Ovis aries: one gene and its partners. The protein of the gene in region 1 purifies or fractionates together with the protein of each later gene. This does not show direct contact. Links are inferred from orthologs where the notes say so. Each region holds a gene or a part of one and is shown on either strand. Other genes may lie near its edges. The genes, in order: PDS5A, SMC1A, WAPL, SMC3 and sororin.

Region 1 (5,723 bases):
ATACTTTCTTAAAAGTTATATGTATACGAAACTTGAAGAGTTCACAATCTGATCACGTGGTGCCTCTCTCTGCTAATTACCCTGGGAATAGCACGAATAAACCACAAGAAGTTACAGAAGCAAAATGATCTATTAGCATCCGGATGTTCATCATTTCTAAGTAATCACCTTAAAAATTATTTTTTCTTTTACTAAGTCGACCTTCACACTAGTGTCACAGAAAAGAACAAAATGGCTTAAATGTGCCTATGAAGAAATCACACTTTCGATATGCACTCTAGGCAAGCCTGTATCCTTCTTTTCTTCCTCACAAAGGCTTTTATGCAGCCAAAATAAATGTTACATCAAGATATACTATAATATCACTAAGCTCATGATCTTAATACCCTAATTTTCTTGTGTTTGAACTTACACCATATTAAAAGCAGTATATTAGAAAAGGAAATGAAGAAAGATGCTCATTGAAAATGGAAACTCTAAAGTATTATTATGAAGGCTAAAAACATTCTAAGCTTCATATCAAAACAAAATCAATTAGAATAAGATATAGTAACAAACAGCAACTTAAATTCTTGATGACAGGACTACTACTGTATGTAAATTCTATATAGGTACTATTCTAGTCATAATAGCCCTGGGTCAGCAATAAAGTAAATTTAAATTCAAGAGCTCATGTAGGAGTATTTATAAAGACCAGTAAATTCAATTAGAAGGCAAGTAACTTTGCAATCTTTATTATTCCTATTAAAACCAGGCATAAATTCTGAGTACTAGATTAAAGAAAACTGGATACAAATTTTTGTTGAAATTTTTAAATGCCATATTTTTTCCATTAAAAATATTAATTTTTTTTAAAAAAACAAACAACAGCAAAGTTAAAACTTCAAAATATCACCTTAAAGTGGATAATAAATACAATGCAATCTGTTAAAAAAAAAAGTCTTAAAATCCAAATTAGCTGGAAAAATTTAAAGAGCTATTAGTTCACTGAAAAATTTACTTACATGGAAAACTTCATTTGTTGCTAGCAGAATAAATGTACTATGTACTATTAATAATATAATTATTATTGTTCAGTCGCTAAGTAAGGTCCTACTCTTTTGCAGCCCCATGGACTGCCTGCTAGGCTCCTCTGTGCATGAGATTTCCCAGGCAAGAATATTGAACTGGGTTGCTATTTCCTTCTCCAGGAGGGCTTCCCAATGCAGGGATAGAACCCACGTCTCCTGCATTGGCAGGTGGATTCGTTACCACTGAGCCACCTGGGAAGCCCCATTATTAACGATACCACTTACTAACGCTTCATTTTGACTAACGTCTATAGACCTAGGCATATTAATAATAGATAACAGGTATTATCATCACTTGCATTTTAGAGATGAAGAAAATGAAGCTTAGAAGAGTTAACTTGAGTGTGTGTTCAGTGGTTTAGCTGTGTCTGACTCTCTGTGACCCCACAGACTGTAGCCAGGCTCCTCTGTCCATGGGATTTTCCCAGCAAGAATACTGGAGTGGGTTGCCATTTCCTCCTGCAGGGGATCTTCCTGACCCAGGCATCAAACCCGTATCTCCTGCATCGCAGGCAGATCCTTTACCACTGAGCCACTGGTGAAGCCTGTTAACTTCAAATCCAGGTCTGTCAATTGCCAAGACCAATTCCATTCATACTGACACTTTATTTCATATATAGATGTATATAATTTATACTCTACCAAACATTTTTATTTCTTGTCTGAAAAAATACTAACAGTGTTTTAATAGGATGAGATGAAAACAATTTAAGAAATTTGAAAATTCCTCTTACATATTAGAAATATCCAGAAGGAATAGCTCACATAGGAACACCACCACCAAGCTTGATTTGTATTCTCTACTCTGTAAGGTGAGAATGATATTTTTCAGGCTTTGGAAGACAGTCTCCCCTTTCTTGATAAACTCACAGAGGTATATATTTTTTACTTTGTAGTCAAGACAGTCTAGTATTTGCCACCAGGATGACAGTAACAAATTTAAGTGAGTTCAGTTTGGTAGAAAAATGAGAAGAAAGTTACCTTTTCAGGTTGTGTAAAAAATTTCACTGGCAGGACTGGATCCTTTGGTGACTCTGCATTGCACAAAGCACTTTTACTATTTATCACGCACAGGGCCACATCACACACTGTATAAAGTTTCTAGGGAGGAAACAAATCACGTAACTTTCAGGAGTGCAAAACAAGCACAGGTACCAATTCTACCCAGTATGTAACATGGAATCGACACAGTAATATGGGGCTATTGTTTACTCCTTGAACACTCTGCATGTTGTCTCTGGCACTTCTTCTGATGTAGACTCCTAGTAACAAGGACAAAAAAGTCCCCTTCGTTTTACTTTAACATGAATGCCAAGTATGCATTAAAAACAACAAACCAAACCAAAGGAAACATACAAGAAGACTATCTACGGGTCTGTAACACTTACTTACTAGTTCTTAAGACAGCATAGTTATAAATTTCACTAGTTCTTATCCCCATGCTCTGTACATATTTTAATATCTTTTTCAGAGTAATAAACATTCTTCAAAAATAGACTTCAATGTAATGAAAGAAAAAGTACATATATTTATAAACTATAAGTATATATTTTAATAAGCATTCTCTAATCTATTATACAATAGGAAAAACAAGTGGGACAAGGGTCACATTACTTTTTCCCTGTAATTTCTTAATAGTCACTGGCCTAATATATATCTTACTTCATTTGTCTTGGATTCATCTGGAGACTGGGCATCTTTTGTTAGCTTGATATTCTCTGCCATCTTTTTCATAAAGGCATGGCTATTATTTTCATTTTTTGTCATTAAAACTTCAAGCATGAACCAGAGGCACCTAAATGAAACATATTCACTTAGTAAAGAGACTAATTGCAGGTTCTTTCGCTGAGTGGATTAAATAATTTACTGGGAAGTTCTGTTGTTCGAGTATACAAAGAGTAAAACGCTAATGATTAATAAAATATTCAATTAAAATAGGATATAACATCACAAATAACAAACATGAACATATAGCTTAATATGAGAAAGCCTCACAGTTTCATGAGGCATACACGTGAAGAGTCATTCTATAGGTATTTAATAAACATTTAGATAATATACTGTGTATTAATATCTAGCAATCATGAGCAAACCAGCATACAGCATAGTCTTGCCATTTTGACCATTTGTAAGCTATTTATCCTGTGATCTAGGGCTCGTATGTAATTCTACTGTGACATAACTCTGAATTTCATGTGTTATGAGACTGGTGTGCATATAACCAGTAACTCAGCGAAACAGTCACATTTCAAGTCATTTTTCTGTTTTCCGCTTGTTATAGTTATTTAATTCATAAAGTGTCTGGTGACACCTGAATTTCTAAGTAAAAGTGAATCCCAAATTGGGATGAAGATTAGAATCATCTGAGGAACTTACATTGCCAAATCTAGAATCAAAATCTGTTATTAAGTTCCCATGATGATTTTTTAGGCAACCACCATGGACTTACTGTTTTACTCCATCGAGAGGAGAAAAAAATCACTTGAAGATAATCTGTGTGTACTTCTTTGCCTATAGTGTATATATATATATATATATATATATATATATATATATATATATATATATATGTTTTAAGAGACTACTGTAAAGGAAAATTTAGCACTAAGTTAATGGAGTTTGCTTTTAGTAGACCTGTCTTGCAATAAATATTAAACTCAGTCCTTCAGGCAGAAATGAAAGAACACTAAACAGTCACTTGAAACCATAAGAAATAAAAAAAACCCACTGGTAAAGGTAACATAGCTAAAACATAAGGCCAGCATTACTGAGCTTCTGATTTGTAACTCCTTTTTAAATATATGATTTAAAAAGCAAATGCAGGGAATTCCCTGGTGGCTCAATGGTAAAGAATCTGCCTGTCAATGAAGGAGACGAGGGTTTGATTTCTGATCCAGGAAGATCCTATATGCTGCAGAGCAACTAAGTCCTTGTGTCCCAGTTGTTGAGCCTGTGTGCCAGAGCCCAGGAACCACAACTATTGAGCCCATGTGCTGCGACTACTGAAGCCCATGGCCTCAGAGCCTGTGCTCCGCAAAGAGAAGGCACCACCGTAAGAAACCTGAGCACTGCAATCAGAGAGCAGACCCCACTCTCTACAACTAGAGAAAAGCCTGCCAGCAACAAAGACCCAGCACAGCCAAAAATAAAGAAATAAACCACATGCATGAAAATAATCACATATATGTGAAAGGAAACAACATATAAAAATATAATTTGTATCAATTACAATATAAAGGCAATGAAATAGAGATGTATAAGAGCAGAGAAGGATGTGGCAACCCACTCCAGTACTCTTGCCCAGAAAATCCGATGGATGGAGGAGCCTGGTATGCTATATAGTCCATGGGGTTGCAAAGACTTGGACACAATGGAGCAATTTCACATTTCACAAGAGCAGAGTATCTCTACACTAGTGAAACTAAGTTGCTATTATTGAAAATAGGTTGTTACAATTTTAAGCTGTTAAGAGTAATTATTAAGAAAATAACTAAAAAATATATCCAAAAGAATAAAAAAAGTTTCCTACAAAAAACAACTACAGCTGACCCTTGAATAACACAGGAGTTAAGGGTGCTGACCCTTCACACAGTAATTTGCATTTAACTTAGTCTTGGCCCACTGTATAATTGGTTCCTCTGTATATGAAGTTTGTCTGTATCTGTGGGTCCACCAGCTGTGGATCTTGAAGCACTATAGTATTTATTATTGAAAAAAATCTGCATGTAAGTGAACCTGCACAGTTCAAACCTATTCATACTGTAAAGTTCAACTGTAAATACAAAAATGAGAGGCAGTAATGGAGCAATTAAATAACAAAAAATATATAAGACACAGAAAAAACTAATAGTTATGTGGCAGAAGTAACTTCTTCCTTATCTCCCAATTAAAAAGCAGAGAAGCAGAGTAGATTAAGGGAGAAAAAAGATCCATATATATCTTGTCTACAAGAGACTCATTTCAGATACAAAAACACAAAGTAATTGAAAGTTAAAGGATGGGGAGAAAATACATTTCATACAAACAGTAACCAGAAGAGAGCTGGTAGCTATTTTATAATTAGACAAACTGGATTGCAAAAGACCGAGAAGGACTATTGAAGAGGATATGACTATTATAAACACAAACCTTACAACAGAGCCCCAAAACCTATGAAGCAAAAGTTGACAGAAGGGAGAAACACATATTCCACAATAAGATTTCAATACCTTATTTTAAATAATGGATTGAAAAAACAGAGAGGAGATCAAAGAGAAAATGGAGAACTTGAATAGCACTATAAACCACTCAGATGTATGAGACATAGATGGAATACTCCAACTAACAGCAGCAGAACACACAGTTTCCTCAGGTGAACTTGGAATATTCTCTAGGACAGACCGTAAGTCTTAATAGGCCTCGACAGCAAGCTGCAAGTCTTAAAACATATCTTTTCTGACCAGAACAGCATGAAACTAAAAGTCAGTAACAGAAGGAAAACAGGGAAAATTGGAAAACTCACACATATATGGAAATTAAACCACACTTTTTTTTTGGGGGGCCATGTAGCTTGCAAAATCTTAGTTCCCTGACCAGGGACTGAACCTGGGCCCTTTGCTATTAAGGCGTGGATCCTGACCACTAGATGGTCAGGGAATTCCCAAACCACCCTCT
Region 2 (5,723 bases), on another chromosome or scaffold:
TAGGTTAATAGCACCTAACATTTACTGAACATTCACTTGGTACAAGCAATCAGTCTAAATACTTCACATGTATTAACTCATTCAATCTGTGCAAGGACCCTATCCTTCTACAGATTATTTACAGATTAAGATGAAAAAATGGACACTGAGAGGTTTACAAAAACAAGAATGTTCTTTGAGTATCTGCAATACATGCATTTGAAAAAGACATTTCTGGAATATATTTTTCAAAAAACTCTTACAAACCAATATAAAAATGATCAAAGGATTTGAACATTGAGAGGTTTAGTAACTTGCCTAATATAGAGCCAAGTCCTAAACCCCTGACTGTCTAACTCAATGCCATCTATTCCTGGTTTCCAGGAACAGACTGGGAGGAAAGAGGGAAGAGGGACAACTTCCCCACCCCTAGAACTGAGCGTAGAGCAGGAATATGAGGATGGCCATTGGCCATGGCCCAACAGGGCTGAAAGCCAGGTCCCACCTGCAGATTAAGGGCCAGATGCCGTGTCTTGGTCTGTTCTAGGTCACTCTGTGAGTACTTGAGCCGCATCTGCAGTCCGTGGGCCTGAGACTGCACCTGACGTAGTTCTGCCTCTTTTCGCTTTGCCTTCATCTGCTCCTGAAGTGGACAAGAGGGAAAGGCTAGGTGGTAAGAAGGTGGCCGGCTGGCCTGGGCTTAGGACTCCCATTCCTAGGGACAGCCCTGCCTGTGGCTTACCTTCAGCTCTTCTGTCAACCGCTCCTTTTTCTCTTTCAACTTGTCTACTGCTTTCTCATCCCAGCGTCGGGCCTTGGCCTTCAGGTCACTGGCCCCGCCAGAGATCACCCCTGACTTCTGGAACAGGGTCCCATCCAGTGCCACTGTCTAAATACAGCAGGGAAAAGAGAGGAGGGGAGAGAAGCTGAACAAAGGAATCGCCAATACTAAGCCTATCCAGCTACAATGTGGCAAGGGAATCCATACCTTGTGGCGCTGGTGGCCTCCAAAGGCAATGCGGCGGGCATCCTCCACATTGTCACAGACAAGGGCATTGCCACAAGCATACTGCAGGGCCTTTTTGATGTGAGGTGGCTCATAGCGAATCACATCAATCACCAGCTTTGCCCCCTTCAGCTCCCGGAGTTTCTCATCTGTAGGTTTTACCTATGAGAAAAAGCTTAGTTAAGTGGCTGAACATGGAGGGCTAGGAGGAGCAGCCCTCTCACACTGCCCTGACCCCATCACCACCAGCCTCACCTCCAGGTAATCAAGAGGCAAGAAGGTTTCAGGCTCCCCACGCTGCTCCTTGATATACTGAATGCAGTCCCGGCCTGTCTTCTCTGAGTCCACAATTATAGCATCCATGTTCTTGCCCAAAACCTTGGTTACTGCAATCTGATACTTCTTTTGTGTGGGCTGGCAGAGGTCAATGAGGCGGCCGTACTAAGGAAAGTCAGAAGAGTGAATGAAGCATGAAGTTTTTGAGAGCTGGCTCAGGAACCCTAACTCCTAGCTTAGAAGGGGGATAGCAGGTCAGAATCTCTATCAGGAGCACAGCTCCCAAACTATGGGGAAAAGGCCTACTCTGGACTTCCCTGGTGGCTCAGATGGTAAAGCGTCTGTCTACAAAGAGGGAGACCCGGGTTTGATCCCTGGGTTGGGAAGATCCCCTGGAGAAGGAAATGGCAATTCACTCCAGGACTATTGCCTGGAAAATCCCATGGACAGAGGAGCCTGGTAGGCTACAGTCCATGGGGTCGCAAAGAGTCGGACATGACTGAGCGACTTCACTTCACTGGCCCCAAAGCAACAACAACTTCAGGCAGTCATGTCTGAATCCAGAATCATCTTTCTAAACCTCACTTTTACCATTTCATAGACCACTGGCACCACAGGCATTATGCAACTTAATTTGGTTCCACAAATAAAGAGCACAATAAATGCAACGCGCTTGAATCATCCCACATTACATTTATTGTGCATTTTATTTCTATTATTATTACATCAGCTCCACCTCAGATCATCAGGCATTAGATCCTGGAGGTTGGGGACCCCTGATCTACGGAAATGATCAAGAAATATTTGTAGAACCCAATTAAGTTGAACCCAGGGATGGAATTACAGCAATAGAGGGATAATATTCAGGGAATCTGGAAACTCAGGATTTCATTCAAGAGGCCAAAAGAACCTAGTAAATGAGCTGACTGTTATATGCTTAAGGAGCTCACACTGAAGCCTGCACAAAGCTACTGATACATCCTGGGAACTAATTCCTGCCCTGCAGCCCCTTCCCTTTCCCAAAGGCCTCTTCACTTTCTCCACCTCCCATAAAGGAGTGGACACAAGCAAGACAAAACTTTCAGAAAGATACAACTGGTGCAATGAAAAGAACACAAGGTTAAGAGTAAGAACAAGTTGGATTTGAATTGCAGTTCTTATACATATAAGCTATGCTGTTTTGAGCAAGTCATTCAACCTCTCTGACCCTGTTTTCCCCAGGTGTAAAAATGGAATTAGCAATCTGTCCTCATGGGGCTGCTGGGAAAATTATCTGACAGTGAGTATGAAAGACAGTGGTCAGGAAATGAATTCCCTTTCGACTCTTACCACAGAACCAGGGTACAGGCGCTTGATGCTTTCCATAATTTCTGCCTTTCGCTGTTGGCGGCTGCTCTCTTGGCGGTCGATGCGGGCATCCCCCAGCTGCTCCATTACCTGGTTCAGCTCCTTATTAATCTCATCAATACGCCGCTTGGCCATCTCCACCTCCTCTGTCAGCTCCCCCTCTAGTTTCTTCTGCTCCTCTAGAGACTGCCTACAAAGTGAGGAAATACTGGGGTTACCCTGGCTGGCCAGAAAATATTCCTGGCCGAGAGGGATGATGAGGGTCCTTCCTGGGGAGGGGCAGGACAGGTAGGGTTCACAAGAACAGGCCTGGAGATAAGAGGGAATGTTACAAAGCCACATACTTGCTGGTTGTGATGTATTCCTCTAGTTTCTCAATCCGTTTCTGATTCTCTTCAATCTCCCGCAGCTTTTGCTTGATCTTGGCCTGGGAGAGAGACAAAAACACTACATCACCATAGGCTGAGCAAGTTAAGGCCAAGACCATAGAGTCCTGGCTCATCCCCCATATGCCTAATCATTCTAACAGCCTAACAATCACAGACAATCTGTCACTAGTATAAGAGGCCTATTAAAAATCGGATATAAACAGTGTTCAGTGTGCCTCTGCTAACTGATGGGGCCACCATGGGCCCTATGAGACCCTCTCATAGGTGTTCTACCCAGCCTGGAACATCTTCCTCACCAAGCAGGCAGGCTCAAACCAAGACAAAGTAAAGCTTTCTGGGCCTTTCTGCACTTCTGCTTTATCATCTATAAAATGCAGGTAACTTCCACTTCATAGAATACACATTAAGTGCTTAACATGTATTAGCCACTAATTCTGTGTGTGTGTGCACTCAATTGCTCAGTCATGTCCTACTCTTTGCGGCCCCATGGACTCTAGTGTACCAGGCTCCTGTTCATGGAATTTGCCAGGCAAGAATACTGGAATGCGTTGCCATTTCCTACTCCAGAGGATCTTTCCGACCCAGGGATTGAACGCTTATCTCCTGAATTGGCAGGTGGATTCTTTACTACTAGCATACCTGGGAAGCCCCTAGCTATTAATTAATGCCTAATACCTTCTTTTAAACATTTAAAACTGCTTAGCACAACGCCCGGAGAAGGCAATGGCAACCCACTCCAGCACTCTTGCCTGGAAAATCCCATGGACGGAGGAGCCTGGTGGGCTGCAGTCCATGGGGTCGCTAAGAGTTGGACACGACTGAATGACTTCACTTTCACTTTTCACTTTCATGCATTGGAGAAGGAAATGGCAACCCACTTCAGTATTCTTGCCTGGAGAATCCCAGGGACGGTGGAGCCTTGTGGGCTGCTGTCTATGGGGCCGCACACAGTCGGACATGACTGAAGTGACTTAGCAGCAGCAGCAGCAGCAGCACCACAATGCCTGGAACATTGTAGGCTCTTGGAATATTATAACAACTTTCCATCATTCCTATTATTTTACTATGATTGTTATTAGGAAGGTGGTAAGTGAAATATACTTGAAAGTGTGGGCTTCCGGGACTTCCCTGGTGGTCCAGTGGCTAGGACTCTATCCTTCTACTGCAGGGGGTGCAGATTCAACCCCTGGTCAGAGAACTAAGATTCCACATGCCACAAGGTGCAGCCAAAAAAAAACCAAAAAAGTGTGGGCTACACTGCCCAGGTTCATATCCCAGTTCTGCCAGTTAATAACCTTAGGCAGGGACCTCCCTGGTAGTCCCATGGTTAAGAATTCACCTGCCAATGCAGGGGACAGAGGTTTGATCCCTGGTCCAGAAGATCCCACATGCTGCAGAGCAAGTAAGCCTATGTTCCACAACTACTGAGCCAGCTTTCTGGAGCCCAAGAGCCACAGTTATTGAAGCCCGTGGGCCCGAGAGCCTGTGCGCCACAAAAAGAGAAGCCACTGCAATGAGAAGTCTGAGCACTGCAACTAGAGAAAGCCTGCAAGCAGCAACTAAAAACCAGGACAGCCAAAAACAAAACAGACAAATAAATAAATATTTTAAAAGATGACTGCATATATGTAAAAACAGTGCCTAGCACACAGTAAGAGCTTGCCTTTTGTTGTTTAGTCGCTATGTCCAACTCTTTTGAGATCCCATGGACTGTAGCCCGCCAGGCTCCTCTGTCCATGGAATTTCCCAGGCAAGAATACTAGAATGGGTTGCCATTTCCTTCTCCAGGAGAATGTTCCCAGGGACCAAACCTGTGTCTCCTGCATTGGCAGGCAGATTCTTTACCACTGAGCCACCAGAGAAGCCCCATGCTAGATGTTAACTATGGTCATTACTGTTAAGACTACTGTTACTTCCTTTTCTCTGGACCATCACCCCTAATCTTGTAAGGCATGCCCACCTCTGTCTCTACTTTCTTCCGTTCTTCCAGATCCAGCCGGTCCTGGTCAGCCTTCTGGTCTCGATTAAACTTCTCCAGCTCCTGGGCCAGGGTAGCTGCTCTCTTGCTGGCTTCTTCTTTCAACCGGTGATATTTCTTCACCTGTGTCAGGGACAGGGGCAACCAAATCAGTCCTGTCAGCCTCGCAATCTATTTGCCCATCCCCGCACCCCTCAGAGCTTACCTGATTCTCCTCCAAGGTCAAATCTCTGCCCTGACTCTGACTTTCCTCTTCCATCCGTTCCTCAAACTCCTGCCGAGCTTTCTCCACTGACAGCATCTCCTTTTCCAGCTCATCCATGTCACCTTTACGCTTCTTATAATGCTTCTGAGCATTCTGTAGCGACTTTTTGGCTGCTTCCAGCTTCTTGATTTTGTGGGAAGTATTTTCCTTGGCCTTGATGTACTGAGGCCGCTTCTGGTTCAGCTCTGAGTCCTTCTCCCTTTCACCAGAGGGGAGGGGGAACCAATTAGCTCAGTGGGAGAAGGGAGGGTTCCAAGGCTTTTTAATCCAAAGGGGGATTAGGCGCTTCCCTTCCAAGCCTCAGGGAAGTGCCTAAAAGAACAGGGCCGATGCCCCACAGATCCTGTGATGGCTTCAGCCTGGCATTCCAGCCACTCTAGAAGGTAAAGCTACCACCCCTGCCTCAACCTTAGCCAGGCCAGACCTCTCGGTAACAACTCCCAAGAGTACCCTGTGTTCACATAACTGTTCCCCATCTGATCT
Region 3 (5,723 bases), on another chromosome or scaffold:
ATCTAGTATCATCTATAGAAAAAAAATGTACGCAATGTCAGGACAGAAGATTAGGATGTTTCCCTCCGTTATTAGCAAGAAGCAGCCAAACTGTATATAAACCAGTTTATGGTAAGAAAAACACATGGCCTGCTTAAAATGTTGTTTTATTTCAATACGTATTTAAAATGCTTTAAAGATTCATAAAGAATAAAAGGAAAAGCTCTTCTAAGGAGGCTCACCTATAATAAAAAGCACATACAAAAAGAAAAAAAAGACGGGAAGAGGGATGCTTTTGATTTCGTATTTGTTGATGAAGACATGGAAGAGTACATATTATCCTCTTAGGAAATTTGCAACCAATCCCCTCTCTCCCACTTTTACAGCTACTCAGTAAAAGCTTGCAGCTCCAATCCTGAGGGATTTTGCCATCTTTCAATGCTGTATTTTGAACACACACTGAGGCTATATTGAGTGGCACATCGTGAGGGCAACAGCTAGCTGCAGAGGTAATGCAAAGCTGGGTTTAAATGCACCCTAACCAACTGCACAGAGAGGGGCAGGGTAGCACGGTGGTGGGAAGACTGGATGCTGGCTATGAAGATGGCTCAACAAAAAAGGGTGCCTCTCTCATTCAGAGTAAAGAATTAGATCCTAGGTTTCAAGTGAAAGCTTCTCAACAACCCAAATCAAATCCTTTTCTATCAACAAATTACGAGTACAACACAGTAAGTAGCCAAGGCATGGGAAGGAGAGTCAGAGCATTTACTTTAAAAGTGTGCAATAAATGGTAGTGTACAGGAGGTAAGAAAAGGTGTGAAGCGGCATGGCCTACTTCAGAAATTTAGAAACGCAACCAAGGGGTGTGACAGACTCTAATACTAGATCAACTATGCTTCAGTAAAATAAAATACTGGAGAAGCAGTTAAGTTTGGAGTCTTATAGCAGTAAACAAAGCTATCATTTCCTAAATGACAGTGAGTCAAGAAAGACTGGCGGGTTGGAGGGTTAACATGATCAGATGTGCTCTTAAGGAAGTTAGCTATGGTGGTGGTATGCAGGATTTCAGGAAAGGAGAGTTGAGAAAAGCAAGAACAGAAAGGCCACAGAGAAGACTGACCATTAAAACACACCAGATGCCTACCGGGCAATGGAAAGTGACACCAGGGTCTCCTGGGCTTCCTAGGCATGCTGTGCTTTACCTTAGAACAGCCCTTACTGCACATAACCACCTGATTCTCGTCTTTCCTCCACTTAAACACTGGGCAAACCAATGTCTTTTACATTTTGTGGCATCAGCTAGCTTTTCAGGGTTAATCATAATGACCCCTAAGGTAAGAAAGACATCCTGGGCTCTATAAATTCACAGTATTGTCTACAACCTAACCTCTCGAGACATGAGAGACAAATAATTCACATCTGAAAAAAACTCAATTTTCAGATTACTTAAGAACACAACTGAAACCAGGGTGTATGCAAAATATGTAAAAATCTTTAAATAGCATACCCACTCTTTTTTGGGGGGTGGGGGTGGGGTGTGCTTTCCTCCTCCTTTTTGCTTGGTATGTGCTTCCCATTTGCCCTTAAAATCTCTGAATTTTAAGGAAATAAGGACAAGGGCTGAGCTTGAAGACAGTCCAGGAAAGGAAATAAAGATTTGTGGGGCCTCTAGCACCATGGTAAGAACTCTGGTCTTGATCCTGAAAGCAGTTGTGCCAGCAAGGGCCAGCAACGAAGTGGGCCAGTATGCACTCAGCTCAGAGCCTTTCTACAATATGGAATAAATGAACAAGAAAGATCCAGAAAAACACACTGGACTTAAGACAAATAAGGTACACAGGAAGAACAAAAATGACAATGGATAAAACTTGATGGCAAAAATGAGGAAATGTGGGTGGGCAGACAGAAGCCCTTCATATCATGATTACGTTCTTTTCTTCTAGCCCTCTAGTCTTAAGAAAAGAGAAACTAGCCATCCCACTATACAACAGGTCTCCATTCTTTCTTGCATCCTGAATGCCCTTGCTTGTAGGGGGAAAAAACCCACCTCTCTTTTATTTTAAAATTTCTCTCTTCTACTGGGCCTCTCTGTTAAAAAAATAAATTTAAAAAAATCCCACGTGTCCTCCATTTTAAAGCAGACTGTTCAAACAGTGAGAAATGTCCACTTCTGTGCTGATTCAGCCCAACTGTGTACACATTCACATCCTTTTCGTAAAGTGAAAGTGAAGTCGCTCAGTCGTGTCCAACTCTTTGTGACCCTATGGACTGTAGCCCACCAGGCTCCTCTGTCCATGGGTTTCTCTAGGCAAGGATACTGGAATGGGTTGCCATTTCTTTCTCCAGGGGATCTTCCCAACCCAGGGATCGAACCCAGGTCTCCTGCATTGCAGGCAGACAGTATACCCTCTGAGCCACCAGGGAGAGCCATGATTTTTCATAGTTAACTCATGATCTAAATCTCACATAGTAATCCCATTTTCCTGGCCAATGAGTCATCAAACAAAAGCATGTGAGCCAATCTTGGCCAAGGTAAAGGAAGTCGACTTTCTGCATTGGGTGTGGAAAAGTCCTAGGGAAAAGAAATCATTGCTCTTTAAACAAAGAGAAACAAACAGGCCACATTCTTCTGCTGGGCACTATTTAACTAGGTGAGACACAGAGTCAGCATAGGTGCATGAAGAAAGCTAGCAAAAGACAACACGCAGAGGAGAGCAGAGTTTAAAGGTAGAAATTATGAGTCCTTGGTATCACTGAGGCGAACCTTTTCCACCTTAAGCCAGCTGAGCACAGGTCTCATATGGTGCTTTTACTTCAACCAAAGACATATAAGTTGATTCCTCTATCAATCTGGAACTTTCTCATCGAAACCAATATACTCTTACTTTGAAATGTACCTTCTAAAGTTCACCAAATATTTGAAAGTTTTTAACAGGAGGGAAAAATAAAGTAACAAGTTAATTAAGTAACGATGTGAAGTGGCTGCAGTGAAATTCTTATAGGATAACATAAAACAACACAGAACTCTTACTTACTGGACTCTCCTGGCAGAGACACCCAAGAAGCAGTGCGGTGTATGAGGCCACAATGCAATCCTCCATGTGTTTGCCAGCATGTTGAAGGGCTGAAAGTATTAAAACAGAAAACTAATAGTGCATGTGCATATATATATAAACCAAAAACTACAACAACAAAAGCACCTAGGAAACCAGCAACTGTGTCATCTTTACTTCAAAACTGCTAAACGTTGATAATGGTGCTGCTGCTGCTGCTGCTGCTAAGTCACTTCAGTCATGTCCGACTCTGTGCGACCCCATAGACGGGAGCCCACTAGGCTCCCCCATCCCTGGGATTCTCTAGGCAAGAACACTGGAGTGAGTTTCCATTTCCTTCTCCAATGCATGAAAGTGAAAAGTGAAAGTGAAGTCGCTCAGTCGTGTCCGACTCTTTGCAACCCCATGGACTACAGCCTACCAGGCTCCTCCGCCCATGGGATTTTCCAAGAAAGAATACTGGAGTTGGGTGCCATCGCTTTCTCTGGATAATGGTGCTAGGAAGATGTAATATCCACACAAATTAACCAAAAAAAAAAACAAAAACAAAAACAAAACCCACAAATGGTAGAGGGAGCTTAATATAAAAGCTAAAACCATAAAACCCTTAGAAGAAAACAGAGGACTAAATATTTGTGCCCTTGGGTTAGGAAATGGTTTCTTAGACACACCACCAGGACCACAAAAGACAATATAAAAAATAGGTAAGTTAGACTTTATCAAATCTAAAGCTTCACCTTCAAGAAGACAACTCATAGAATTTATCTGCAAACCAGGTACTTGATAAGAATCGAGGCTCTAAAAATTCTACTCAATAACAACAAAAGATAACCCAATTTAAAATATGGGCAAAATATCAAAACTGTAAACACCCTTAGGAGTCATGTTACTTGGTTGCTTCTCTTCACAGACAGTAAAGAGAGGCCCAGGGAGGAAACACAGACCTTCCAACAGTACATACACGCCACTCTCACCGCTAGGTGAAGACTGCTACCAAACAGCAAAGCCTGTGTGCACTCAACCAGAGAGGCCATAAAACAGCAAGATTATGACCACACATGAAGTAAAAAAATGTTTTACAGGGGAAAAAACACACACACACATCTTTTAAAAAATAAAGCAGTCAAAGAAAACATACCTTTATTGAGGTCGAGTTCTTCATCATCCTCCTCCTTCTTGTTTTTCTCTTCTGCACCATCAGTCTTCTCGGTTGATACCCACTGTATTTCTCCACTTGTTTCTTGCCACTCTCCACTCTTATCATGCTGAGTGGTGGGCGCATCTTTGATCAATTCATCTGTTTTACTTTCTGCCAACTGTGCTGCTCGTTCTCGCTCAAGGAACAGCTGATAAACATTTTTGAAGGTCATTAAAAAGGGATCACCTACCAACATCAATGTACCCAAATATAAGGCTCCATTTGCTTTTAAACATCATTAACCCTAAGAAGCATACTGTCTGGTAAAAAGGCTACACATCAGTAAAAGCCCTAGCTCTACATCCAACTGAAGACAAAACAAAACTATAAATGCTGCTGGGATTCAATTAAGTAAATTATCTACTGATGATGCATGCATTCTATTTTTAAGAATGAAAATCTCAACACTTTCCTTTAATTTGGATAATAACGGGCAGGAAGTTCAAGCAAAAATTACAAATTAAAAGTTAAAATTAAAACAGTTAAAAATTCTTTAAATCCAAGCAGCCTGGATAAATTAACTGGAAGGAAGAGAGGACACTGGATAAAGTTTCACAATATTTGGGGAAAACAAATGGCTTCTTTAAAAGAAATTTAAAGAAATAAAAAACAAAGAAAGTAGAAAACAAGTTCTCAGAGAAAGGCAGAACTAAATCTCAACTGCTATATTAACAATAAAAGTATAGTGCTTGCTTCAGCAACACATATAACAGAGAATATTAGCATGGTCCCTGTGCAAAGATGACACTGATATACAGACTTGTTGCCTACAGGGAGGGGGATGGGAGAGGGAAGGACTAGGAGTTTGGGGTTAACAGGTGCAAACTATTACATACAGAATGGATGGATACAAGGTCCTACTCCACAGCACAGGGAACTAAATTCACTGTGATGGGATAAGCCATAAGGGAAAAGAATATGAAGAAGAATGCATATGTATAGCTGAGTCACTTTGCTGTGCAGCAGAAATTAACACTGCAGATCAACAACATTTCAATTAAAAAAATCCAAGTACAATTGTCAATGGAAGTATATACCAAAAAAGTCTAAAAAGGAAACATACTAAAAACTCTTGCCTTCACTTACTTATTTCCCTGTGCTGGCACAAAGTTGAATATACAGAAAGCATTTCATATATTTGCTGATGTGATCTGGAGAAACCCTAAATTACTGATGACAGCTATCAGAAAACTAAATGCCAAGTAGATCTCAAAAACTTGCTGAAATATACAGAAGAATGGTATGTAAACTCTAATACCCTTAAGAAAGTAAATGTATTTTATAGTTTTTTCAGTTTGACTTCTAATTTAGTAAATATCAACAGATAAAGCACACATAAACAAAGCTCTTTGGAGTCCCCAGTAATTGTTAAGAGTATAAAGGGGGGCGGGCCAAAAAAAAAAAAAAAAAAAGAGTATAAAGAAGTCCTGAGATCAAAATGTTTGAAAAGAGACTGACAGGCATCTAGTTGCAGATTATTTCCTGAAAACACA
Region 4 (6,264 bases), on another chromosome or scaffold:
AAAGCGAAGAAGAACTGAAGAGCCTCTTGCTGAAGGTGAAAGAGGAGAGTGAAAAAGCTGGCTTAATACTCAACATTCAAAAAACGACGACCATGGCATCCGGTCCCATCTTTTCATGGCAAATAGATGGGGAAACAATGGAAACAGTGAGACTTTATTTTTCAGGGCTCCAAAATCACTGCAGATGGTGACTGCAGCCATGAAATTAAAAGACGCTTTCTTCTTGGAAGAAAAGCTATGACTAACCTAGACAGCATATTAAAAGCAGACATTACTTTGCCTACAAAGGTCTGCCTAGTCAAAGCTATGGTTTTTCCAGTAGTCGTGTATGGATGTGAGAGTTGGACCATAAAGAAGGCTGAGCACCAAGAATTGATGCTTTTGAACTGTGGTGATGGAGAAGACTCTTGGGAGTCCCTTGTACTGCAAGGAGATCAAACCAGTCAATCCTAAAGAAAATCAATTCTGAATACTTACTGTAAGGACTGATGTTGAAGCTGAAGCTCCAATACTTTGGCCACCTGATGAGAACGGCCAACTTATTAGAAAAGACCCTGATGCCGGGAAAGATTGAAGGCAGGAGGAGAAGGGGGTGACAGAAATGAGATGGTTGGATCGCATCACCAACTCGATGGACAGGAGTCGGAGCAAATTCCAGGAGATGGTAAAGGACAGGGAAGGCTGGCATGCTGCACTCCATGGGGTCACAAAGAGTCAGACACAATTTAGCGACTGAATAACCACCAAAAGGCTTGAATGCACTGAACTTCCCCTTCACCAAAATCTTAAGAGACTGACCTTCCCCCACTGTCTCTTTGGAGCAGTCTCACAGAGTTATCTGAGGTGCTTATCTCCTGGGCTGCAGTCCTCATTTTGCCCCAAATAAAACTTAATTCCCAACTCATGCATTTTTTTTAGTCAACAGTATGAATCTTACCTCAAGCTATGGACTCCATGGTACATACTCTCCCTGACCCCTAATTCATATGTTAAAGCCCTAACCCTACTATGTGAAGCTTTTTGGAGATAAGGGGTCTTTGGGAGGTAATTTACATGAGGTTAGGAGTGAGGCCTTTATGGTAGGACTGCTCTTTCAAGAGGGAGAGGTTCAAACAAAGGTTCTCCAGAGCAGTGAAAAAATAAATCCCTGTTGTTTAAGCCATCTAGTCTATGACATTTTGTTGTGGCAGACCAAGCCAACTAGGACACTGTAGGGCTGAAATCTATGTTGATAGCGATTCTATACTTTTCTGGTGTCTGCTGCTGCTGCTGCTAAGTCGCTTCAGGCATGTCCGACTCTGTGAGACCCCATAGACGGCAGCCCACCAGGCTCCCCTGTCCCTGGGATTCTCCAGGCAAGAATACTGGAATGGGTTGCCATTTCCTTCTCCAATGCATGAAAGTGAAAAGTCAAAGTGAAGTCACTCAGTCGTGTCGGAATCTTAGCGACCCCATGGGATTTTCCAGGCAAGAGTACTGGAGTGGGGTGCCATTGCCTTCTCCTTTCTGGTGTCTAGAAGCACTCATTTAATCTGTTCTTTAAAAACTCAGCAGATGGTCAGAAAACACCTGCTGTCTGTATCACTATCATCTGTAGAACCTATATATTAATTATTATATTGAAGGACAATCACCATTAGCCCCCTTATCCTCACATTATTGCTTTCTCATTTAATGTTCCCAACAGCCCTAAGAAACATGTATCATTATTTCCACTTTCCAAGTGAGAAAACTGAAGCATCAGGAAGTCTGAAGAATACATAGCAGAACTGGGATTTGAATCCCATTCTGCCATGATCCAAAGTTTATGCTTTTCCTATCAAGCTGCATGGTCTGTCCTTGGACATTATAATGGGGAAAAAAAAATGTCTTAGAACAACCTAATTTGTGAATAAAGAATGGTCATCTTTGAAATAAGGCAATAGTGACCACTTTTAAAGTAGGAAATGACATACCAAGAATAGCTGAAATGCTAAATTTAGTGCCATTCACTATAAACTTAAATCTATTAAAACACATACACACAAGGCTACCAAATAAAAATGAATACTCTGTCTTATCCAAGTATTTTTAAACGTAAAAAGGAAGCAATTTCATCAGTGCAGATAAAAGTATTCACACAGAAAAAAAAATACAAATTTATGTAATATTAAGACAATTCCTGTCTCCTTAAGCCTAATGTAGGCAAATTTAAACGACTATGTAGACAGAAAACTGACAAGAGTGAACCATGAACACTTACCAATAACATTATGTTTTGAACTGAACGGGTCTACAATTGTTTGATCTCTATAACTTCGAAAACCCTGGATAATAACCTAACAAACAGAAGAGAGATTTTTTTCAGAAAGAAATAACATGCCCCAAAAGAAATAACCTCTAAGCTAGTATTTTCCTTTTGCCCTCCTTCCCTTTCTGGTTTCCCATTTAATGCCAAATAGAAAAATTCCCATGTCAGAGAAGAAAAATTTATCTTGGAAAATGATTTAAAAATCTTCTTAAAACTGCCCGTATATCAGTAACCACTACCAGTGTTGCTTAAGAGAAGTTATAATTAGTAACCTGTTAGGGAGCGCTCAAAATCAAATACACTGGGTAAGGCTGGCTGGAACACTAACCATCAGAGGGCCGGATAAAAGTCTTATCAAGTATGCAGGGGGGCTCAGCGGTCCTGGGCGCCCCTTTCAGTCACACTCTGACCAAAAAAGAGCCGCCCATCCAGGACAGGACTGCTCCGAGTCCAACACATCCAGCCGAGAAACTTCTCTTAACGAGTGTGAATGGGCTCATTTTCGGGGTGGCCTCCAGCGCGGGAAGACCATTTTGACAGAAAGTAAACAACGGAATGAGGAGGCGCTACACATTCTGCAGGAAGGAGGGACCCTTTCACGTCTCCGGTAACTCGGGGAGGAGCGAGGCCCCTGGCTAAGCTGACACCCAGCTTGGACCCCACAGGCGTCCCGAGGCCGGGGACACCCTCTCTTCACACACGCCACGCAAAAGGCTCGCGAGGGGGCTGCCTAGCCCCACAGGACCAAGCTGCTTCTCGTCCACCCGGGAGGGCCCGGTTCCCTCCAAAAGGCCCACGTCGCCAGCCCCTCCAGCTCTCTCCGCTAGAGCCCGCCTCCCTCAGACAAGCGCCCTGCGGAGAGGCTCGGGCTGCAAAGGGGCGGCTCGGGCTGCAAAGGGGCGCCCCGAGCTGCGCCCCTCCCCCACAGTCCCTGTCCAGCCCCGCGCCACCCTGCAAGAAGCAACACCCCCGACAGGAGCTGTCCTCACGAGCCCCTGAGGGGCGGGAGGGACGCACAGGCCTCACCTGCTTTATGTACATGGTTCCGTGCCCCTGGCCGGCGAGAAGGGCTCCCGGCGAGCAGCAACAACTCGGCAGCGGGGTTAGGTGAGGCGCCTAAACGACCCCACCCCCCAAGGCGCCGCTTGCACCCCTCGAGCCAAACAAAATGGCGGCGCCCATGGAGGCGGAGTCCCCGCCTCGGACGGAACCACCCTCGCAGCTTCCCTCGGAACGTGGGGGGAATCAGAGTCAGATCTGCTCTGTATTTTTAGCAAAAGAGCCTTCTGCGATGTCGCTAGCTGAATTTCATGTGACTCCTCAATTTTTCAATGAATTTTCCCTGAGAAGTAGTCGGAAACTTCATTCGGAAAAGCCTTGGTCGTGAGATTGACCTGTATACCCTCCGAGCGGGCAGCCAATGGTTGCGGCCACAAGGTGGCGAAAGGTTCGGCGCCAAAGCTGAGAGAGGGTGTCCAAGCGCCAGTAGCCGTGCGAGTTGACGGCCCCGTGGTCTCGCGCTGTTTGGAAATACCGAGCTGGGGCGGGCGGCGCGGCTGCCCGAACCTGTAGTGTACACGACCTGGGGGGAAACTCGGGGGGCAGAACCCCTGGTCCTCTATTATTCTCTCTCTTGTGTAACTTAGAATGGCCCCCGCTGACTCTGGACTCCCCACTCTCAGGACAGCCCCAAAGGGACTTGACGCTAGAAAATTAATTTTAATAATGTCATAGTTATTAATATCCCAGAGCTGTTACTGCTCTGCCAATTGGTATAAATCTAGGCAGATTGGACAACTGGAACGCAAAGATTTATTTAAGATTAAAACCCCTCCCCCCCTTTTTTTCCTAACAGCCTAAAAGCTTGGAGGTGCTAGTGGCAACCCTGGGCGTATCTGATCTGCACCAATCGCAGGAGAAAAACTCGGATCTCTGGGCCGCTGTAAAATTACCTGCCACTCAGCACTCAAGTTGGTCGGTCCTCGCCACCCGTCCCGCTACGGCGGACAGTTCTAGCGCTGATTATTTCTACATTGAGCTATTTCAAATGACTAACTTCGTCCCTGTCAACGCCTCTTGGTGCTGGAAGAAGACTTTATGTATGTACCTTTTTAATAGATGAAGAGGACAGGGACACTTCAGGGAAAACAAATGACTTATTAGAGGAGGCAAGGGAAAGAAAAAGAGCACTTCAGGGAAAACATACCACTTTTAGGAAAGTCAAACCGGCCCTTAGGAGAAGAGATGGAAGTCGCTGGTTTTTGCGACTTTGAGTATTACTTCCGTGATGAGACCAAACAAACTGAAAAGTTTTAGTTTGGAGCAGAGAAAGATTCATTGCGAGGAGAATGGGGCAGCTTATGTTCAAAAAGCACAAACTACCCAATGGTTTTCTGGGAAGAGTTTTGATAAGCAAATTTTGGAGGAAGGGCTGCAGAGGTGTGTGACCTGGTATAGTAACGGTGATATTCCAGGACTCTCAATTAGCCCTCTTGTTCCAGCCAGTCGGGGGTCCACATGCTTGCGCTCAGCCTTCATTTACCGTTCTTGATCTGCCTGGGGGACTTAGTGCCTGTAGAAGAACTCAAGAGATGTGTACCAGATTGTAGTGTGTGTACCTTGAAAAAGAACCAGGACCCCTCCCCATCACTGCTCTATTGTTTCTTGCCTCCTTTTAATTTCTTTCTACATTCCTTCACTCCCCTAGTTAGTAACTTTGAGTATCCCCTTTGGAATCCAGGGAAAATCTAGGAGGCTGAAGCCTTTTTCTTACAAACAAGAAATGGGAGACACAGGTTTTTGGTATGAGGCAGGGCCCCCAGGGTCCTGCCTGGATTCAGTAACACTCAAAAATCTAACTGCTCCCTTTCTCCGATGGGTCAGTTACTCTGATAACTTTCAGGGTCAGATTGGAGGAATAAATATACTGAATATATTTGCAGGAGGAATACACCTTGCTCAGGACCCAGCCTTCTGTTCGGTTTATGGGCTGTGGTGTGGGATCTGGCTAAAGTCTATAAACTGGGTGAAAGGTTGTGATTTTTCTGCTGTGGTGACTGACATCAGCCTCCACTCACCTAAACCTAATCTAATATAGTATGTAAATGAACCTCTACCACAACTGGCTGCCTATTTCACTCCTAGGAACAAGGTGGTCTTAGCTGTAACCATAGACTCCTTAAATGTAAGGGCTAAAAATAGAAAATCGTAGATGATAATGTAGGAGTAAATCTTTGTGACTATAAATCAGGCAATGGTTTCTTAAACATGACACTAAAAGCACAAGCGATGAAAGAAACATAATTTATACTCTATGAAAACTTTTGTGCAGGGACTTCCCTGGTGGTCCAGTGATTAAGAATCTGTCTGCCAATGCAAGGGACACCAGTTCCATTTCTGGTCTGGGAAGATCCCATGTGCCCTGGAGCAATTAAGCCCGTATGCCACAACTACTGAGCCTGTACTTTAGAGCCTGCAAGCCATAGCTACTGAACCCTGCACACTCTAGGGCCTGTGCTTCTCAACAAAAGAAGCCACCACAATGAGAAGCCCTCATAGTGCAAGAAAGAGTAGCAACTTCCCCCCGCCACCCACACCACCACCCTCTGCAGCTGGAGAGAAAAGCATGAAAGCTGTGCACAGCAACAAAGACTCAGCACAGCTGGAAAACCAAAACAAAACAAAACTTTTGTGCATCTAAACAAATAAAACAAGAAGAAAATACTTGTGAATTTTATTGATATATTTGAAAAGGGACTTGTTTCTGAAATATATAAGAACTCTTACAATAACAATAAGAAGACAACTTGATTTAAAAATGGGTAAAAGATTTGAATACACGTTTTCCCAAGTGGTCAGTAAACTTATGAAAAGATGCTCACCATCATTAGCCACAGTCAGCTACCACTTCATACGCACTAGGATAGCTAGAATAAAAAAGACAGACAATGACAGGTGTTAGCTTGGATATGGAG
Region 5 (5,038 bases), on another chromosome or scaffold:
CTCCAGCCTTGGCTCAGCTAGGGCCTAGGGCTGACATGTGTTTCTGCTGTTGAGGGCAGGGTCAGGCTGCAGGATGACCAGTCCTGCCATCTGGGAGCTGGGTTGCTGCAGACAGTGGGGAACCGGTTGAGTGGCGCTGGGCAAACTGGTCCTCTCACCCCACCCAGAGCTGGGTGTTCCTGGTACCTGGAACAGCGCCCCCTCCTAGACGGCCTGGGCTCCTTCCTGGATGGTCTTACTCTCCTCCTGGAAGGCCTCTCCTTCCTCCTGGACGGCCTTCTCTCCCTCCAGGATGGCCCTTGCTTCCTCTTTCAGGCTTTTATACAAGGAGTCAGGCTGGAACAAAGGGTTGCAGGGGCCAGAGGTGGGTAGATGGCGCCAGGCAGGACGGCCTGCCAGGGGCCTGCCCAAGAGCAGGGCTAGGAGGCGGGGAGAAGGCACCACAAAGGAGGTGGGTCCTGGGTTGAGGTCTCACCAGGTCTCGCAGCTTCTCCCCCAGAGCCAGATTGTCGGCTTGGATAGTGCTGAGCGACTCCCGAAGCCTAGGGTTGAAAGGGAGACCTGCACCCTCAGCCCCCAGACTTGTCTTAGGCAACCCCCAACCCCACGGCACACAGCTCTTGCATGAGCTCCTGATCTGGCATAGCCACAAGCCCAGGGTTTCACCAGGAGCCCAGTCTGGTTCTGGCAAAGCCACAGGCAGGGAGGGAATTCGTCTCCCCTTGTGACTGGCAGCAGGGGACCTAGAGGGAGATGAATCCTGCTTCTCTTCTTTAGCAAGGGGAGATCCGACTGCTGCCTTGCACGTACTGGCCCGGGAACCCTCTAAAGGAGCCTTGGGCTAGCCGCCCACCCCTCTGGTCTGCAGTGGGGGCTGTGGCAGGGTTCTGCATGGTCTCTGTGTGGAATTAGCCTGGCCCAAGCTCCTTGGCCAGATGTAGACGAATATGTGTCAACCACTCAGATCCATGGCTGTGGGAATCTCCTGCAGCCTTGGGGAATGACTGTCACACTCCTCCCACCCCAAGACCTCTGTCTCCATGGAGTTTGGACCCTGGCATTGCCACTGGTAGACAAGTGGTCATGGGACTGTGCAGACCTAAGCTCCAGAGCCTGACATCCAGAGAACTGACCACCCCCATCCCCTTTCTCCACAGACCAAAATACCCCTCAAGTTTTGGACAGTTAAAGATGGTGGCCCCTTGCAGGCAATGTCATAGACTGCCTGCTAATCGGGCACATGGGCACATTGATGGGAAAGGGCTGTGGCCCCCACTCCTCTGGGAAAGGACATACAAGGCCACTGATGCTTGAGAGGGAAGGGACCTACTGGCTAGTAAGGAGGTCACCCAGAGCAGAACAGAGAGCAGGGAAGGGAAGGAGGGAAGGAAGAGGGCCCAGTCAAGGTGCCAACTTACATCAAGCCACAGGCCCTGCACTCTATTCTGGGAAACCCTGTCACCCTCCCCGTCCCCACCTGCCCCTGTCCGGCTCACCTCAGGCACACATTTTGCAAATGGCTCATTTCCTTTGAGGTCCGCTGCGGGCCCCAGTCTTCCTTATCCAGGAACTGGGACTCCTGGATGTCCAAGTCCCTGGGTGGGTGCACAGGGAGGATTGGACCCGAGGCTGGAGGCTGGAGGGTGGGGTGAGCAGAGGGGAAACCCAGCCCAAGGCCCAGGCTTCTTCAGTCCTGTCTAGGCCACCCCCACACACAAGCCCCAGGGCTGAGTCCTGGCCCAGATCTGAATGTTGATGGCGGAGAAGCACCCTCCGGCCCCTCCCCTCTCACATGGCCTTACTCTGCAGGGTCGCTGGCGGGCTCGGTTGCGGTCAGGAGGGTAAACAGGAAAGTGGCACTGGCTTCCTGCTCCTGGCCCAGCTGCTGCTCTGAAGAATCTGAAAAAGACGGCTTTGGCAGAGAGGGTGCCCTGGTGACTGAAGCGGCATGAGGCTGGCTGGCCGCCCGAGAACTGGGGTCCTCCCACACCCGACAGTAAGAGGATGGGCGCAGTGGCTAGGGGTTCAGACCTTCCTCCAGGGAGGAGAAGAATTTCTCCAGCCCCCGCCCCGCCCACAGCCTCAGGAGGTCCTGTCACCTCTGAGTCTGGCTCCCCAGAGATCTGAGTGTCTTCTGGCTTCTGCTCCCCAGCAGGTGGCGGCGCTGGCTTCTCCTCGGGCTCCGAGTGGGCTGTTTGTCCATCCCAGGGACACTGAGGGAGATGGTAACTCAGTTGGTGAGCCACCCCCACCATCCCGCTGGTCTCCCCTTCCCAGCCTCCCCTGCTTTTCTTGGGGCGATCTCCAGCCTTGAGAACCACCACCACCAGCTCTGACCTCAAAGTTAGGGTTGCCAGATTTAGTATGTAAAATATAGGACACCCAGTGAAATTTGACTTCAGAATAAATGGTCATTTTTTTCAAGCGTATCTCAAACATTTCACAAGCCACACTCATACTTTAAAAAGGGTTTGTTTTTCTTTTGAAATTCAAATTTCACTGGTGTGTCTTGTATTTTATCTGGCAACCCTACCAAAGCTATACGGTAATGGTATCTTGTCAACTGAATTCTTGCAAATACAAGGCGTCCCTGGTAACTTTGCTTTGGAAACTAGGCCTAAAGAAACATCTCCAAAAGAAAGAAAAATAATTCACACAGAGGTCCACAGTAGCCGACTGACAGCCAGAAGAAAAATTGAAACCTGCCTGAAGGGCCCAAATACAAGGAAAGGGAAGTAAGCAATGACTTATGATTGTGATAGAACACAATCCACTCTGAAGTTCATGGTCTTTGGTAAACACTGGTCCACCAAACTCTGTCCTTGAGCCAAGTGTTATGCTGGATACTGAGACCACACAGATAGATGATTGTGACCAAGTTTTGCCCAGAAGCCCCCAGAGATGGGGGGCGGGGGTGGCCTAGGCTCTCAGACCCACTGGGCACGGACATGTGCCATCCAGAAGCCTGTAAAGAAAGCCTTGACTGAGAGGGCCACTTGGCTTAGGAGCTCCAGAAAGACTCCACCAGCGGTTGCTGCTTGGTCTACGAGTGGGGTGTCTTGGCCAGAGAAGGAAGGGCAATCCAAAAGAGGAAGTGGCTTGGGCAGGATGGTGCCAACGGACATGACACATTCAGGCGTGGGGTGCTCCCACTGAGAGCCGGGGTGAGCAGGCCCGGGCTGTGGCCCCCAGGGGATAAGGAAGAGTTGAAGTAGGAGATAGATGGGCCCCTGGGCCAGAGACCTGCTGTTTGTCAGGTGGAATAAAACTGAAGCTTTGCCCTCAGCCAGGTGAGATGCCCCGTTTCCTTCCTCCATTGATATGGAGGGAATGAAGTAATGCTGGGGAATTTGTTGCAGCAAAAATAGAAATGAGACTTTTCTGATAACTTAGAAAAATAAGGAAACAATGAACAGGCTGGGGAAACAGCACAAACTGAAATAGTTAAGCAATCTTGGGTATTCTTTAGGGTTACTGCTAACAAACAACTTGTAGTTGGACTTGTCCTTCACAAAGCTAAACAAAGGAAATTACTCTCTGACTTCACAAGAATTCCACTCTGCACCCGGCTCTCTTCTCCCCCTACACTCTTTCGTAGCATGCTTCATTTCAGAAAGAAGGTCACGGGCCGATAACCAGAGACCAACCCCAGTTACCATCTGCCTGATGCCAGCTGTGGCTGTTTTGAGGTTTTTTTTTTTAATCTATTTTTCTTTTAAAATTTTACATATTTATTTTGCCTGTGCTGGGTCTTCATTGCTGCACGCAGTCCTTCTCTAGTTGTGGCCGCCAGGGGCTAGTGTTTGCTGCAGTACTTGGGGCTTCTCATTGTGGTGGCTTTTCTCGTTGCAGAGCAGAGGCTCTAGGAGCACAGGTTTAGCTGCTCCGCGGCATGTGGGATCTGCTCTGCTTCCCGGACCAGGGATCAAACTTGAGTCCCCTGCATTGGCGGGTGGGACCATCTGGGAAGTCCCTGTTTTGAAATCTTGCAAAAGGGAAAAAAAAAAAACAAAAACTGCAAGATTTTCATTAGGATGTAAAACCTCTGTCTTTCCTGGGGGCACAGTTCTTGAGGTGCTGGCCTGCCGTTTGCGTTTTGCCTGGCAAAGAATAAAGCTATTCTTCCTTTTTTCCTCCAGATTCTGTCTCCGTATTTCTAGTCAGCATCAGTGAACCGGGAGCCAAGATTTTAGCGTCAGCGTGGGAGATCTTTGGGTGTTTGTGTTGTCTGAGCCGTGGCTGAGCAGATGGATGGGAGGAGAGCCTGGGGGCAGAAGCCCAGGGCCTTGAGGGTGAAGGAGAGAGACATTCACGATTGCCGCCTGTGACAAGTGTCTACTCTGAGTTGTACCTTGGAAGGTGAGCACGAGGCGCTGTCAGGCCACAAACGCAGGCCTCACATGGTCTGCATATGCTATGCACCAATGCACCACACAGGGTTGCCAAATAGAATACAGGATGCCTGGTTAAATCTGAGTGCCAGATAAACAGTGAGGTTTGTTTCAGTATGGTGATGTTCCAAATATTGCAAGGGACATATTTGTGCTGCAAGATTATTATTTATTGAATTTGGGAGATGATTAAATAGAAAATTCATTGTTTATCTGACATTCAAATTTAACCAGGAATCCTGCATATTTTTGTTAAATCTGGCAAGCCTAATGCCACGCCCACCTATTGGTGCCCATCAGAGGAAACTGGGAGGCACGAACAGCTTTCTGGCTAGAATTAGTAACCAGAAAGTCCTGCAGAAGACGATTGGAGATAGACGAGAGTATCTGAACAGTAAGAAATATGGAAAGTTGTAACATGATAGGGAGTCCAGGGTCACTGGTTCTTAGACTTCCCTTTGTGTCCACATTAGCCTCAGCTTGGCTGTCTAACAGCCTCTCCCCCAGGCCATTGAGCACTTTCCCAGAGAATGCCCGGCATTCCCTTGTTGCCCCATCAGGGTCCCACTGGCCAAGCATTAGAGGTGATTAATTCAGACTTAGAAGACAGCTCCAAGCTGAAAATCCATAGACCCATGTTGGAGTCT

Evidence for each region.
Region 2: the proteins of PDS5A (region 1) and SMC1A purify together in Homo sapiens (co-immunoprecipitation; 8 studies listed by BioGRID and IntAct, with this or other methods). This does not show direct contact. The link is inferred for Ovis aries from reciprocal best matches to the Homo sapiens genes PDS5A and SMC1A.
Region 3: the proteins of PDS5A (region 1) and WAPL purify together in Homo sapiens (affinity purification with mass spectrometry; 6 studies listed by BioGRID and IntAct, with this or other methods). This does not show direct contact. The link is inferred for Ovis aries from reciprocal best matches to the Homo sapiens genes PDS5A and WAPL.
Region 4: the proteins of PDS5A (region 1) and SMC3 purify together in Homo sapiens (affinity purification with western blotting; 8 studies listed by BioGRID and IntAct, with this or other methods). This does not show direct contact. The link is inferred for Ovis aries from reciprocal best matches to the Homo sapiens genes PDS5A and SMC3.
Region 5: the proteins of PDS5A (region 1) and sororin purify together in Homo sapiens (affinity purification with mass spectrometry; 4 studies listed by BioGRID and IntAct, with this or other methods). This does not show direct contact. The link is inferred for Ovis aries from reciprocal best matches to the Homo sapiens genes PDS5A and CDCA5.

Annotation. Positions count from the first base shown.
Region 1 is NC_056059.1:59,633,474-59,639,196, forward strand, and holds part of PDS5A (sister chromatid cohesion protein PDS5 homolog A), read right to left. Parts: intron 2,866-5,723; coding exon 2,733-2,865; intron 2,172-2,732; coding exon 2,052-2,171; intron 1,876-2,051; coding exon of another isoform or gene 1,805-1,875; intron 1-1,804. UniProt on the Homo sapiens protein: Probable regulator of sister chromatid cohesion in mitosis which may stabilize cohesin complex association with chromatin. May couple sister chromatid cohesion during mitosis to DNA replication.
Region 2 is NC_056080.1:51,280,363-51,286,085, forward strand, and holds part of SMC1A (structural maintenance of chromosomes protein 1A), read right to left. Parts: intron 5,440-5,723; coding exon 5,181-5,439; intron 5,099-5,180; coding exon 4,958-5,098; intron 3,036-4,957; coding exon 2,953-3,035; intron 2,799-2,952; coding exon 2,591-2,798; intron 1,427-2,590; coding exon 1,241-1,426; intron 1,148-1,240; coding exon 968-1,147; intron 869-967; coding exon 722-868; intron 623-721; coding exon 485-622; intron 1-484. UniProt on the Homo sapiens protein: Involved in chromosome cohesion during cell cycle and in DNA repair. Central component of cohesin complex. The cohesin complex is required for the cohesion of sister chromatids after DNA replication.
Region 3 is NC_056078.1:40,191,545-40,197,267, forward strand, and holds part of WAPL (wings apart-like protein homolog), read right to left. Parts: intron 4,379-5,723; coding exon 4,171-4,378; intron 3,104-4,170; coding exon 3,015-3,103; intron 1-3,014. UniProt on the Homo sapiens protein: Regulator of sister chromatid cohesion in mitosis which negatively regulates cohesin association with chromatin. Involved in both sister chromatid cohesion during interphase and sister-chromatid resolution during early stages of mitosis.
Region 4 is NC_056075.1:30,647,327-30,653,590, reverse strand, and holds the start of SMC3 (structural maintenance of chromosomes protein 3), read right to left. Parts: upstream 3,456-6,264; 5' UTR 3,332-3,455; coding exon 3,317-3,331; intron 2,319-3,316; coding exon 2,243-2,318; intron 1-2,242. UniProt on the Homo sapiens protein: Central component of cohesin, a complex required for chromosome cohesion during the cell cycle. The cohesin complex may form a large proteinaceous ring within which sister chromatids can be trapped.
Region 5 is NC_056074.1:39,730,494-39,735,531, forward strand, and holds the end of sororin, read right to left. Parts: intron 2,214-5,038; coding exon 2,032-2,213; intron 1,913-2,031; coding exon 1,834-1,912; coding exon of another isoform or gene 1,799-1,833; exon of another isoform or gene 1,596-1,798; 3' UTR 1,497-1,595; downstream 1-1,496. UniProt on the Homo sapiens protein: Regulator of sister chromatid cohesion in mitosis stabilizing cohesin complex association with chromatin. May antagonize the action of WAPL which stimulates cohesin dissociation from chromatin.